Sus scrofa: one gene and its partner. The protein of the gene in region 1 interacts with the protein of each later gene in a biochemical or structural test. Links are inferred from orthologs where the notes say so. Each region holds a gene or a part of one and is shown on either strand. Other genes may lie near its edges. The genes, in order: CABIN1 and MEF2D.

Region 1 (3,805 bases):
TCAAACCAGCAACCCAAAGTATTAGGCCCAAGAATCAATGCAACCATAAGGAAACTGAACCATTGAAGAACACAGCAGGTGGCTTGTCCACATGGGGAAAGTGAGTCTGCGTGTCTGGGCAGGGCAGGAGCAGAGGGGTCCAAGTCAGACCCCAGCCCTACAAAAGCCTCATGAAGCTTTAAATGCCAACAGGAACCCAACACCTAACACTGCTCTGCCTGTCGATCGACACGCCCCCTGCCGACCTCTCTCCCGCCAGGGCCAGCTCCAGGGCACTATGGGACCTCCAGTCTGTCACTGTGCTCCAGGAGGGTAGCACACTCTTCTAGTCTTGGAAAGGCTTTCTAAGCATAATGAACAAAACCACCAACGTTTGAAAACATCAAGAGGTCTGCTGACATAAAGATTCAAAAAAACACAAGTTGCAATTTAAAAGCAAACAACAAACTGGGAAAAAACATTTGATGAGAAAAAGACTAGTATATAAAAAGCATACCAAGTCAATAAGAAAACACACCCCCATGAGGAAACTGAGCAAAAACCAAGAATCACTTTTGCAGAAAGCAGCAGCTTCCACAGCCCTGGGCCTGGCCCAGCACCTCTGCAGGCAGCAGCCCGTTCCCACAGTGGGGCACCCACCACGCCCGGGGTTCCAGACCACAGAGCGAGATGACCTGGGCCACAGGGCTGGCTTGCAGAGGCGAGGGCTGGTCTTCCTGACATGCCAGGTGTCCCTCCCACACAGCCACAGGCACTGAGGCTGTCACGTCTTGCCCCTGCTCAGCGTGGGCTGGCCCTTTCTCCTGTCTCCTCCTCACCCCATCCCTCCCCTCACCAGGGAGAAGATGCCTCTGCTTGTTCCCAGTCACACCTCTTAGCCACTTCCCAGCTCAAGAGTTATTAAAATGTCTCACAAGATCTAAGCAAAAAGCCTGGGGAAGACGGGGCTCTTCCCAAACCAAAGGGAAAGGACCCAATAAAATAATAAACATAAAGGACAGGGAGAAAGCAGCACCTCTACTGCAACTAAGCACATCCTGTTGATCATCATCTGTGTCTGTCTCCACATCTGACTCCACGAGTGCTGAAGACGGTAGCGGGTAGATCACCAGCCTGTCCAGGGCTTGTACCCACCAGATTGGATGCCAACACACACTGACTCACAAATCCCCACAACAGGCCTCGGAGGCAAGTACCATGGTCATTCCCGTTCCAGAGGGGAGAGGCTAAGTAACCGTCCAGACCCCAGCAAGCTCTCAGCGGGGTTTAATGCTAAGGATAGGAGGCTTGCAGGGAGCCGAGAGGGCAGGAGGGCCTCACGCAACACTCCTATCCTTCTCCACCAACTCTGTGACTCTACGTGGCTCTTTACCTTACCTTGACCCTTCGCAGCGTACAGACACCTCATCCACTTTTCTATGTACCTGATAGCTCATATAGATCAGAATGAAAGCCAGGCAGGTGAACAAAAGGGAAGACGGATAGCTAGAGCCCTGTCTCCCGCACAGGCATTCAGAGCAGGCGCAGGCTCACCTCAAGTCCTGCAAGCCTGGGTTCCAACTCCCCTGAGCCTTCTGACCTGTCTTTCTGGTGCTGAGGTGGTGCATTTCCTCCACTTCTCCTTAGAAACCGCCCCAAGCAGGAGGCTGAGCGCAAGGGGTCCCAGGCCACACCCACCTGCAGCAGCAACAGCTGGGCCGGCCTCTCTGGCACGGATGTCATGAACTCCAGGTGCTTGGCCCGGTCGAACCCACTGGGGCACAAGGTGGGACGGAGCAGGCGCACCACGGCCTTGTGGTCACCAGCCTCGTACAGTCGCTGAGTCTCCTCCAGGGACTGGCACCGTTCCAGCGACCTCAGGTTCTTGTCAATCTGGAAAATGCCCAGAATCACTGCCTGACAAGCCCCGCATGGGCTCCCTGGGTGCGGCCAGTGTCCTATGTTTAGCACACCCGAGGGAGGTGCACGCTTACAGTGATGCTTCATAAAGAGTATTTCTATGGAGTTCCTATTGTGGCTCAGCAGAAATGAACCCGATTATCATCCATAAGGATGCGGGTTCGATCCCTGGCCTCATTCAGTGGCTTAAAGGATCTGGTGCTGCTGTGAACTGAGGTATAGGTCACAGGGCAGCTCAGATCCCGTGTTGCTATGGCTGTGGTGTAGGTTGGTGGTTATAGCTCCGATTCGACCCCTGGCCTGGGAACTTTCATATGCCATAGGTGTGGCCCTGAGGGGGGAAAAAAAAAGAAAAGAAAGAAAAATAAAAGAGTATTTCTATTAAGGTCAAGACACTTACATCTTTGAAGAACAAACACACAAAATCCAAAACTACCCCAGAAGCAGAGAAGTTCCAGAAAGTGTCTGCCAAGAAGCTGAATGGCCTCATGGTCACAGTTCAGCAAACTAGACTCGTGGACATACAGAGTGTCAGGTGGCCAGAGAGCCAGCAAGCCCTAGGCCCGAGGCTGACCCAGAGAACCCCATCCTCACAGAAGGCCCACTGAAAAGGCAGTAGGGGTACTGCAATCAGACCTGCCCCAAAACACCTCTGTAGGCATCTGAAGGCCATGTTCAGACCATGTGGATATGTCACAGACATGGAAACGTGGGCGCAGGGTCTTAGGCTGCACAGTGAGAACAGGATTAGAACCACACAGCGCTGAGCCAGCACCCGGGCTGGATCAGCACTGGCTGCCTCTTTGGGGCTTTCCTTGTCATCCACTGGGGCTGCTGCCACACGCAGGCCAGGGAGCTGAATGACACCCCTTCTCCATCCTGCCACAGACACCTTCACTCTGCTCCCACCACCTGCCCCCGGATGCACTCCCCAGCTGGGCCTACCTGCAAGTCCGAGGTGCCCAGAGGCCCAGAGCTGCCCTGGGCCCTGGGCCACCCTGCTCAGCTCGTGGGCTGCTCTCCCAGTCCTCATGGATAGCTCAGACCTCTGACCAAGAAAACACCTTTAACCCCCCTCACCTCCTCCAGGGAAACGACCGAGTCGTTGTGGAGGTTGGGCAGGCGGATGACGATGTCCCTCTGCTGGGCCCCTGGTTGTGTGCAGATGGCCGAAGAGCGTTGCAGCATCTCTGTGCAAATGTCGTAGTTCTCCAGAGCCTGCTCCATGTCCCCCTAGGCCAAGTAGGGTAATTGCTGCATGGTACTGGGCACCTGCCTTCCTAACCCCCCCACCCTGGACGCCTCGAGGGCATGTGGGCCCGACTGCTCCCCCCCACAGAGGGGCTGGCACAGAGCTGGGGCACAACAAGCATATGCTGATGATGGAAACCAACTGCAGCTCTAGGGGAGAGCTGTCACTCTCGTGGTGGAAGTGGGGACACCAGGACATCTGAGGGAGGGCGACAATCTGGTTGAGGAATCCAGCAAAGGTGGCAGAGCCAGGACTAGACCCCAGCTGGTTCCAGTTCCAGAACCGATTTTTGCCTGTGCGTTCACTCCACTGCAAGGCACCAGGTGCCAAGTGTGTGAGGGGCAGGGATGGCCGGCCCACCCTAGCCCTCCAGACACACTGCAATCATGGACAGGTGCCCACTCCCATCCAGAAAGCTCTGTGCGCCCCCTTCCCCGGGTGGGCACTCAGGCTCTCTCAGGAAAACATAAGTCAAGGGTCAAAGCTGTGAGGCAACCTCGTGTGGGTCTCTGGGGGCATGTGAGCCCCTCCCAGAGCCGCACTGTGCTCAGATGCACCTCACAGATAGTGGGCCTGCCAGGATTTCCAAGATGCTACAGGTTCCCCACCTTGTCCCACGTCCTCACACTGAGCCCGGCGCCCAGGCCGGTCCCA
Region 2 (3,805 bases), on another chromosome or scaffold:
CGGGCTGCTGAGACCGTCGCCAGGCTCAGGGCGGGTAGCCGGAAACACAGCTGGAGGGGGAGGCGCAGGGCTGCGCTCACGGCTGGGGGACACTGGTTCTGACTTGATGCTGATGTGGGGGTGGGTGGTGACCGTGAGGGCAGCACCCACATGGGGCAGGGGGCTGCCCGGGCTGGAGAAAGGTGATGGGCACGGGGCACAGGGGACAGGAGAGCAGGGGAGTGACAGAAAAAGTGAAGAGGAGGTCACGAGACAGTGAGAGAGGACAGAGAAGGAGACGAAGGGGGGTAGGGGAGGGGAGCGACAAGGGGACAGACAGGGGGACCAGAAGAGGGGGAGGGCCGAGTGAGGGGGAAGAAGGAAAGAAGTCACATTAGTTGTCTTTCCATCCTGTGTCACCTTCTGCAGTCCAGGGGCCCCCGGCCCACCCCCACCCCAGGGCTGATGGGGGCAGGGGGCGGGGGCGAAGACACAGGGCAGGTCTCCCAGGCCTGGACAGGGGCCTCCAGGGCTGCCACTTAGTGGCTTCCGTGCTGTCCACTGATGACAGACAACCTCAAAGGGACCCCCAGCTCTCAAGAAGGCCCTCCTCTTCCCGCCCCTCAACTCTCTTTCCCCCACACTCTTGGGGCGGCCCCCAAGGACTCACATGAGGCTGCTGAGAGACACGGGGACCAGGTGGGGCTGCTGCTGAGGTGGCTGTTGCGGCTGCTGGGGCGGCTGGGGCTGCGGCTGCGGCTGGGGCTGTGGAGGCTGCGGCTGTGGTGGCTGTTGGGGCTGTTGCGGCTGTTGCCAGGCGGTGACGTTGCCTAGAGACAGCCCCCCAGGCGAACTGAAGGTTGGTAAGGAGGAGAGCTCCGCACTGGTCAACTGGTAATCTGCACGGGGCGGACGGGAAGGGAAGGCAGTGAGGATGAGCTTCCTGCCGTGCCCCACAAGGACTGTCAAGATGGGGCAGTTGCTAATGACACGTGAATAATTACATAAGCCCGTACAATTTGGAGCTGTAGCTGCCAGCCTAGGCCACAGCCACAGCAATGTCAGATTTGAGCTGAGCCGCATCTGCGACCTACACCACAGCTCACGGTAACACCAGATCCTCAACCCACTGAACAAGGCCAGGGATCGAACCTGTGTCCTCATGGATGCCAGTCGGGTTCGCTAACCGCTGAGCCACGACGGGAACTCCCCAAGAAACACAAATCTTAGTAACTATGAGGAGGTGGCTTTTAAAAAATTTTTTTTTGTCTTTCTATCTTTTCAGGGCTGCACCCGCGGCACATGGAGGTTCCCAGACTAGGGGTCCAATCGGAGCTGTAGCCGCCGGCCTAGGCCACAGCCACAGCCACGCAGGATCTGAGCCACGTCTGTGACCTACACCACAGCTCACGGCAACACCGGATCCTTAACCCACTGGGTGAGACCAGGGATCAAACCCACAACCTCATGGTTCCTAGTCAGATTCGTTTCAGCTGCACCATGACAGGAACTCTAAGGAGCTGGCTTTTTAACAGGATGTAAAGAGAAGTAGTTTTTTACAATAGTTTTTGGCTTCTTTTTAACCATCTGTAGGTATCACTTTTGGAATGTCAATTTAAAAACAAAGAAGGGGAAGAAAGGTAGGTAGAGAAAATCGAATCTATGTCTAAGTGTCCCCTCTTCACCTGCCAAGTCTTCAAGCATCTTTCTGAGCTAGAGGGGAGTCGCAGCAAGTGCTAGGTTGAATGACGCACCCCGAGCCCATTCCTCCATCATCCCACCTTCCGCAAAGTCCCTCAGCCTCCTGAAGACTGTCAACACATAAAACAGGGAACAGCAAGGGTTCCAGCTGCTCTGCACACCCCGTCCCCCACATACAGAGGACGACTGTCTGCCTCCCAGAAGGGCCCATGAGAGCAGAGGGACACGGGCTTGCGGCACAACTGGCCAAGGTTCTGGCAGGTTTCCCCATGAGGTGGCGCTTGCTGTTTCTTTCCTACGATTCCTGTCTTAATGAAGAAACTGTGATGTTTGCACGGTCACAGAACAAACAGAACCGTGAGACGGTTCCCAATTTACACAGCTCCCTTATGTTTCACACCTCGGCCTGCGTGGGACAGTTTAGAAGATGTCGTCCCTGAGGAACACAGGCCAGTCGCACTGCCATGTGACGCGGAGGCACACGTGCCAGTCGTCCTGGTGCCACACCCCCGTGCTCAGCCCCAAGGGGCCGTGCGCTCCAGCCCTCTGTCTTTACCAGGGAAGGGAGGCTCATGCGTGCGACAGAACAGTAAGGTGAAGGGCATGAGCCATGGGGTCAAACTTCCTGGCCACCTCCACTTAGAGGCCAAGGGACCTGGGGCAAGCTACTGCCTCTGTCTATACCCCGGAGGCGATAATCCGGCCGGCACACAAAGCTGTGGTGAGGGCTGAGTGAGTTAAGACATGAAGTGTGTAGAGCCCTGTCTGGTACGTAGGAAACATTCAAAAGATTCAGCTGCTGTTGTTATTAAATGACAAATAAGGTCACCGCAGCCTCAAGTTTGAGGAGCTCTCCTCAGGTCACAAAGCCAATGGCAGAGCTAAAACAAGACCCCCAGGCCTCTTTCTTACCTTTAAATCTCACTCTATAGATGGTCCATGCTTGCCTCTGGTCTCATAACAACAAAGCCAGGGGCTTGGAGATGCCTGTATTTACAAGACTACCTATTTACAACACTCATTTTACAACCAAGGAAGCCAATCCAGAATAGTGCAGTGCCTTGCCTGATGTCCCTCAGCCCGTGAATGGTAAGGACTTGACCCCTAGTCCTGTACCTCCCCGCCACACTCCAGCCTGCCTACCTGGAGATGTGGCTCTCCAGCAGGCCCCTTAGTCTGCTCCTAAAATGACCACCGGCAGACCTCTGCAGCCAGGATAAACAAGAGGCCGGGCCTGTCCCTTACCCATGGCATCGCCATAGGCAGATCACTCCCACCTAGCTGGCCCCTGGGCTGAGGCCAAGGACTGTAAACAATGAACGACTAAACAGCGATGCGTCTGTTGGGTTTTGTTTATATATATAGGGTCACCTGAAAACACCTGCTCTCTAAACTGAGGTCTGCTTAACGACTCCTGCAGCAAGAGGAACTGGAGCCCCTGGTTTCTAAGAGGATCTGAGAAAGCCCAAACACTTCCCAGCAGGGCTCCAAGGGCAGGTCAGAATCTGCCATCACAATAGATCGACAAATAGAGTCTAAACTGTGGCCTTGCTGAGCACCTGTCCCAGGGTCACTGGCACCCACTAACCTCCCTCCTGCTTCACAAACACCGGTGGGGGACCTGAGAAGACGGCAGAAGACCACTGCCATGGAATTCTCAAATCACCAGCAGCTCCTGAAAAGCGGGCTGCCCTTCACCAACTGCCCACTGCCCCCCACCCCGGCGCACATGTGCGTGCCCTCGGGGAGCCAGTTTTTCTAGTCAGGGCCCAGAGCCCCAGCTGGCAGGGCTGGCAGCGCCTCAGAGACCTCCTGTCCACCCATAATTCTCACAGATGAGAACTTTTCCTGGCCTCGCGTGCACGGCCACCTGAAGCCGTCCTCTTGGAAGCTGCCCGAGGAGTGTGCGCATGCGGGGAGCACACCCGAGGGACCAGAGACTTTACAGACACCCGCACACAGGCCAGGGTCTGGCCCTCAACGTGAGGGAGCTCCTCCAGCTCTCTTGTCTGCCCCGAGGGTCTTTTTTACACACGGGCTGGGTTCTGGGTTTTCACACACGGGAAAGACGTAGATTTTGTGGGTATCTGTACTGGTGTCTGGGCCCTAGCATGGTTCAGCTCTG

The links.
Region 2: the proteins of CABIN1 (region 1) and MEF2D form a complex in vitro, tested with the Homo sapiens proteins (2 studies listed by BioGRID). The link is inferred for Sus scrofa from reciprocal best matches to the Homo sapiens genes CABIN1 and MEF2D.

What each region holds. Positions count from the first base shown.
Region 1 is NC_010456.5:49,756,613-49,760,417, forward strand, and holds part of CABIN1 (calcineurin-binding protein cabin-1), read right to left. Parts: intron 3,133-3,805; coding exon 2,980-3,132; intron 1,873-2,979; coding exon 1,678-1,872; intron 1-1,677. UniProt on the Homo sapiens protein: May be required for replication-independent chromatin assembly. May serve as a negative regulator of T-cell receptor (TCR) signaling via inhibition of calcineurin. Inhibition of activated calcineurin is dependent on both PKC and calcium signals.
Region 2 is NC_010446.5:93,608,808-93,612,612, reverse strand, and holds part of MEF2D (myocyte-specific enhancer factor 2D), read right to left. Parts: intron 879-3,805; coding exon 650-878; intron 173-649; coding exon 1-172. UniProt on the Homo sapiens protein: Transcriptional activator which binds specifically to the MEF2 element, 5'-YTA[AT](4)TAR-3', found in numerous muscle-specific, growth factor- and stress-induced genes.